Sus scrofa: one gene and its partner. The protein of the gene in region 1 binds, or shares a complex with, the protein of each later gene. Links are inferred from orthologs where the notes say so. Each region holds a gene or a part of one and is shown in the gene's direction. Other genes may lie near its edges.

Region 1 (3,752 bases):
GTGGAGAAAAAGTCTGAGAGCTGTAGGTCCTTTCATCTTCCCGACATCAGCTGTGGCACCTGGCAGACACTGGATACCACAGCTTGGAGACAAAGACCTGGTAACCCAAGGAGCTGCTTGGTCTCCCTGCCCAGTCCCATCTCAGAAGAGCTGCAGGCTTCTGATTTCTTTAGGGGGCCCTGTGTGGAAGTGTCCTTTGTCTCCTTGGCGTCAGGAATACCATCACGTGCCTGCTGGTTAGGTGAGCCTGGCGCCTTAGTCTCCTCCAGAGGGGTGGCATTGTTCTCTAAACAGAGCAGGGTAGAGCAGGTCAAAGTCCCTGACTGGAGAGGGTGGGAGTGGGAATTTGCAGACTAACCCCTTTCCCTTGAGGGTTGGTTTCATCTTAGGGACCCTAACACAGCCTTTAGGGAGCATCCCACACAAGGGCTCTCTGCAGGCTGGACTCTGGCTGCCTCGTTCGCTGCCGAATTCCTAGCACCCATCACCTCGCCCTCCCCCCACCCAATACACTTTTGCTAACTTGGGGTTTCCCTGAAACAGTGGTTACTTTGGATTGGAGGCCTCTTCAGAAGTCGATAGGAAATCAGAGTTGAGAGTATCAAACAATCCTTGCTCTGCCACTGAACCGTTTTGAACCTGTTCCCTCACAAGTCAAAGAGAAAAGGGTAATGGTATTTCTTCTTCTTTTTTTTTTTTTGTCTTTTTGTCTTTCTAGGGCCGCACCCAAGGCATACGGAGGTTCCCTGGCTAGGGGTCGAATCGGAGCTGTAGCCACCGGCCTACACCAGAGCCACAACGTGGGATCCGAGTCGCGACTGTGACCTACACCACAGCTCATGGCCACTCCAAATCCTTAACCCACTGAGCGAGGCCAGGGATCGAACCCGAAACCTCATGGTTTCTAGTCGGATTCGTTAACCACTGAGCCACGAGGGGAACTCCTGATATTTCTTCTTATGCATTATTGTGGAGAGTGAGCTAACTCATGTAGGGTTCAGGGGAGGACACTGAGGCCCTGAGCAAAATCTCACAGCGCTGGCTGCAAAGATCAGCGCCCTTTCTTTCTCAGAGTCCCAGTTTCCCCATCATGAAAAGGAGCTGCAGCCCCTCCCAAACACCACCCCTAACACAGACGCCTCTCCCTCCCCACTCCGCCCCTCTCTCCCCGCTACTCCCCGCGCTCTCCCTCCCGGCCCCTCGCTCCAGGTTTCTAGGCTTTTCGGGACTGGGGTCTTTAATTCGACTTAGGCCAGCTCCCGCCTGAAAGACCCTTGCAGGCCGTGGAGTATCTGAGCCAGTCCCCCGTTTCCGCTTTGAGGGGAGTGAGCGCCGCTTTCGAGGGAAGGGGTGAGACTCAAGGCCCGCCGCGCCTCGCCCCGCCGGTCTGCGCCTGCCGTCAGGCGATCTCGGCGGCCAGCCCTGCCGTCTCTGTGACGTCACGGGCCCCGGGGTCCTCGGCGCCTGCGCCCGCTGCTATAAAGGCGACGCCGCGCCACTCGGTTGAAGTCGCCTTGTGCGTCGCTTTTCTGTCTCTCCGGTTGCGGACACCGCCCTTCTCTCGTCAGCCTCCGGCCCGCCATCTCCTTGAGCCCAAACACCGTGAGTACCCGCCGCCTGAGCTGAAAGGGGGCGGTGGCGCCGCAGATTGCGAGCCGCGGGCCGCCCCGCTGCGGCTTTGGCCTTGCTCGAAACGGCAGGCACCTGGGCCTGGCCTTCCCTCAGGCCCGGTGAAAGCCGTCGTCGACCCCATTCTCCCGGAGGTGCCATTCACCTCCCACACCGCCCCTCGACTTGCCGAGGCCTCTTTTAGCCGCTAGTCTTCACCGCGCCCAGGCGGGCGGGAGGGAGAAGGTGTGAGCGGAACCGGGATTGGGCCTTCTCTGCGCGGGGCGACCCTCAGCCGTCGCGGAGCAAGGCTGCAGGCCCAGGCTGCGGCCGGGGCCTCCCTCGGCGGTTGAGCCCATCGGCCCCGGGAAGCCAGGGCGAGGGTGGTGGCGGGGCTTTTAATGGACTTCTCTGGGTCGTCGTGAGCATGGGCGTTTGTCCGTTTGTTGTTCGGGTGTCCCAGAGGAAGCGTGGTAGGGTCGTCCCGCAGCTGGATTCTTGGCTCTCAGTCTTTCTCGCCCCTGTGTCTGGCGTCACTCGTCCTGGTTAACTGCGCCGGAGCCGAATTTCGGCAGAGAGCTGCCTGCTCCTTCGGAATATTTGTCGCCCATTATTTTGCCACAGCCCGCGGTTGTTGAAGCAATTGTTGGAGTAGCAGGTGCCATCGCCACAGTGGTTTGGCTTTTAGGTGCACCAACTCCGTAAACTTACTAAGAGGTTTTCGAAGGGATAGGATGTTCACCTGCTTTGGTTTGCTTTTTAATGGAGACTAAAGGTTGGAGTTTGGGCTCATGAATGTTTTCATGAGAGCGTCACAGCAGAATGTTTGTGTGTCATAGAGCAACGCAGATTTCACTTTGCCCTATAAGAAGAAGTGTCAGAACTTCGGGTCACTTAAACAGGTTTTTTTTCTTTTATGATGTTTGATAGACCCCTCCTCCTGGAGGGTGATTTAACTCAAAAGTGCCGGCGCATACGGAATTGAAGGAATGGTCTGGAGAACATACCACATCAAAGTTTCATGGATAATTATAGAAAAGTTTTGCTCTGATTTCCAGCTGTATAACGCTAAAAAAAATTTTTTTTTGAGTATTAAGTTTAGCTTACAAAGTGCATCGAATTACAGATTAACCGATTGTTTCCCTGCTATTTATTTAGTAAGATCTCAGTTAAGAGTAACCTAATACACGAATTTGACTGTGACTAAGCAGATATGGCTGTTTATCAAAAGTTATTTGAAATATGAAATGTTCGTCTTGCTTAAAAGTAATTTTATCAACTGCATTTCCAGACTTGTGATTTTATAACGTTCACTCCAGTGTTGTGGAACAGTCATAGAGCATAGAATGTTTTGTAATTTAAAATTGAGCTCATGTTAAAGTATTTCTTTAGGGGGATATCTTTTGCTTTTGCCTTGTCGCAAGGAAGGTCCTCTGCTCTGGGCGTTTCTTCATGGAGCAGGACAACTGCATTATTGGCAGGCACTGAGTAATATGGAGAAGCAGACATTTGTGAACTGAAAAGTGAAATCTGATTCTCTGCAACCATGGATGAGTGTGAGCTGGATATTTCAATGGCTGGTTTTAAAACAGCTTTACCTTTTTGCTTCCTTGCCCTAACACCTTTGTCTCTTTGGGGAATGGAGACAGTTGTGTGGGAAAAGCTGAATATTGTAACCGATTTAACGGGTCCTAAGTGTTGGGGCCTAAAATAGGTGCAGTCAGTGTTTTGAATGCCAAATTCTGTATTTTTAAGTTAGAGTGATATCAGAGTATTATTACGAACATCTCAGATGCACGGGCCTTTTAAAAACCTGTTACAGAAACTTAAAGAGATCTTGAGTTTTTACAGTCAGGTGTTGCTGCCGCCCACCCCCCATGCCTCTCCCCCAAGAATCTGAAGACGGTAAGAAATTGCTGGCTTAGAAGCTTAGAACTTTTAATTCTAAAGAGGTTTTGTTTTGTTTTTGCCAAAACTCAAGTCCTTTGAAGTTAAATGCTTAATTAACTTTTATGTAAGAAGTGTCTTTTTCCTAATGACTCATAATCAGTGTGAGTTAATAAATTCATTTTGGCGGCAAGTAAAAGGCTGTTATTACTATGAGGATTTTGGCATTCGATCTCAAACTTGGGACGCCTAGACAG
Region 2 (3,150 bases), on another chromosome or scaffold:
TCCTGGAAAGGTAAGGAGAGGCTTTCTTTGTTGGAGGAGAAGGTGGCAGGAAACATAGTCACCTGTGGGAAAGGTTTTCAGGTTTAAAAATGTGCCCTTGGAGGTCCCTTTGTGGCTCAGCAGAAACGAACCCAACTAGCATCCATGAGGATGCAGGTTCGATCCCTGGCCTCGCTCAGGGGGTTAAGGATCTGGCATTGCCATGAGCTGTGGTGTAGGTCGCAGATTAAGCTTGGATCCTGCAAGACTGTGGCTGTGGCTGGATTGTAGGCCGGCGGCTGCAGCTCCAATTTGACTCCTGGCCTGAGAGCTTCCGTATGCCATGAGTGCAGCCCTAAAAAGACCAAAAAAAAAGCACTGAGGTTTTCCCCATCCTTCTCCCTGTTCTCAAAGACCCAGTTCTCGCTGAAATAGTTTCTGGTCTCAGAAGGCTGATTAATGGACATCTCCGTTGCCGAGGTGCCCAGTCCTTGGAGTATAAAATCTTCACCAAGTGAGGTTCTGACCAGCAGGGAAGCTGTGAGTCTGCGGCCCGCTGGGGCTGCTTTAAAAAGAACCTGACCAGTTTCAAACCTCCCAGAACGGGCCCTGGGTAAGACCCGCAGCATGAGGTCCCTCAGGGAAGTGATGCAGCCTGTATCAGATGCCTTGAACGTAAAAATGGAACAGGATGTGCTTGGGTGGAAACTGCATCCTACCTCCCTTCGCCCTCCACCCCGAGGGACCCCAGCAGCACGGGAGGAGTTTGCACATTTGCATTGAATTACCAGTCATCCGCAGAGGTGATAATAGGGAGAGGGTTCCTTAGGAGTTGCAGAGGGGGTCTCTAACTCTTTTTCCCCCAGGAGTGAGTCTTGGAACCTGAAGGAGCTGAACATCGGCTTCCCAGACCTGAGCAGCTTGTGCTATGTGCCCGGGATTAAGAGGATGCTGAGGTCATATGCAGGTGAGGCCGGCACCAGCGGTGTGGGACTGGCCTGCCCAGGAGCAGAGGGGAGGACAGGGATGCCCAGTGCCTCCCAGGGTCGGGGAGAGATGGCAGGTGGGAGTAGGCGGGGCGGGGGTGGAGACAGGGGAGGTGGTTCCCCCAAAGGTCAGGGCAAGGGGCGGAGTTGGCCGGGGGTCACTTCCTCCTCATCCCCCACCCCGGACTCAGGGTTACTGACTCCCCCCGCTCTCCCAGCCTGACCACGGGCCTCTCTCTCCAGTGCACATCACTCTGGACCCACTGACGGCCAGTCCGTGGCTCGTCCTTTCAGAGAATCGGCGACAAGTGAGGCTTGGAGAGACCCGGCAGGAAGTGCCCGAAAACGAGGAGAGATTTGATACCTACCCCATGGTCCTGGGTGCCCAGCACTTCAACTCTGGGAAACATTACTGGGAGGTGGATGTGGCCGGCAAGGAGGCCTGGGACCTGGGTGTGTGTCGAGACTCCGTGAAGAGGAAGGGACATTTTTTGCTCAACCCCAGCAATGGCTTCTGGACCATCTGGCTGTGGAACAAACAAAAATATGAGGCTGGCACCTGCACCCAGACTCCCCTCTACCCTCAGGTGCCTCCGAGCCGCGTTGGGATCTTCCTGGACTACGATGCCAGCACCGTCTCCTTCTACAACATCAGTGACCACGGCTCCCTCATCTACAGCTTCTCAGAATGTGCTTCGCTGGACCCGTTCGGCCCTTCTTCAATCCTGGTTTCAATGACGGTGGAAGAAATGCACCCCCCCTGACCCTCTGTCCACTGAGGACGGGCTGGTAGGGATCCAGAGACTGTCGGTGGCAGCGCTTCTCTGTTAGCCCCCCTCTCAGCCAAGAGCCCTGCCTCATTTGCCCCTGGACGCCCAACCACCGTTACCTCTGCAGAGGTGTCAGGATATCAGCAAGCAAACGCTGGCAGAGAGGTCACGGGGGGTCTGTGTCAAATGACCTTCAACACCCAGATTCCTGCCCTCCGTTGCTTCATGAGCCCCTCCATAAGCCAGCCACTCGTATCTGGCCCCAAACTCATCTGGATCAACTGAAGCATGTTCTCCTCTCCATCTCCGGGCCTCTGCTCAGATCTCTCCTGTAGATCTTGCAAAGGGCTTCCTAAATAAATTGGGCCTCCGTCTGCCCCACCACTCTTGTCTCGTACACCTCTGGGATTAGCTTTCCGACATGGTCACGTCTCATCACGGATGGCTCCACGCTGCTACGGAAAAAGAGCCATTAGCAGCCATCCTTTTAAAATAAAGGCTGAGGAGTTCCCGCTGTAGCACAATGGGATTGGCGGCGTCTTGGGAGCGCTGGGACATGCAGGTTGGACCCCCGGCCCCGCACAGTGGGTTAAGGATCCGGCGTTGCAGCACCTGCAGCTCAGGTCGCAACTGCGTCTCAGATATGATCCCTGGTCCAGGAACTCCATGTGCCGAGGGGCAGCCAAAAGAAGAAAAAGATAAATTAAAAGATAAAAATGAAGTTTAAAAATTACAGAAAATAAAATAAAGGCTGAATTACGCACGCCTTAGATCACCCTGTTAAATACCCAGCTTGCTGGCTCCCCTACTCCCCTCACTACCTCCCAGCCGTATCTTCTCCTAAAAATACCTAACTCTCTGAGGATCTGTTCTTCCAGTTTTCCCAGAGCACAGAGGGCCTCCCTGCTGGTCCCCACCCCACGCTCCGCTCAGGGGGTGCTGCGGGTGGGCAGATGCAGTGGCTCGTGTTTTACTCCCAGTAGAGGCTGATGGCAAGGGCCAAACTTCCGTTCACAATTACCACAATCGAGCTAATTAATTCATCACCCCACACGTACTGTTTTTGTGTGTATAATGAGCACATTTAAGATCAACTCTTAGCAAATTGCAAGTATACAATATCATATTTTAAACTATAGTCCCCACGCTCTACTTTAGATCTCCAAACTAAAAGTGTGTTTGGAGATGTAGTGTAGAGATAACATCTCCCTGTTTCCCCTACTTCCATGCCCACTCTATTTCTATGAGTTCCAATTTTTTGGATTCTACATATAAGAGAAATCCCAGAGTATTTGTTTTTCTGTGCCTGGCTCATTTCACTTAGGATAATGTAAGGTTTATTCATGTTGTCACAAAAGGCAGGACTTCCTTCTTGTATGATTGAAAATACTCCATTGTATATTTTTTTTTCTGCC

The links. The genes of interacting proteins can lie anywhere in the genome.
Region 2: SKP1 (region 1) and TRIM21 share a complex: the UniProt entries of both Homo sapiens proteins name them as parts of the SCF(SKP2)-like complex. The link is inferred for Sus scrofa from reciprocal best matches to the Homo sapiens genes SKP1 and TRIM21.

What each region holds. Positions count from the first base shown.
Region 1 is NC_010444.4:136,473,759-136,477,510, reverse strand, and holds the start of SKP1 (S-phase kinase-associated protein 1), read left to right. Parts: upstream 1-1,146; 5' UTR 1,147-1,602; intron 1,603-3,752. UniProt on the Homo sapiens protein: Essential component of the SCF (SKP1-CUL1-F-box protein) ubiquitin ligase complex, which mediates the ubiquitination of proteins involved in cell cycle progression, signal transduction and transcription.
Region 2 is NC_010451.4:5,788,055-5,791,204, forward strand, and holds the end of TRIM21 (E3 ubiquitin-protein ligase TRIM21), read left to right. Parts: coding exon 1-10; intron 11-845; coding exon 846-946; intron 947-1,208; coding exon 1,209-1,729; coding exon of another isoform or gene 1,730-1,758; 3' UTR 1,759-2,574; downstream 2,575-3,150. UniProt on the Homo sapiens protein: E3 ubiquitin-protein ligase whose activity is dependent on E2 enzymes, UBE2D1, UBE2D2, UBE2E1 and UBE2E2.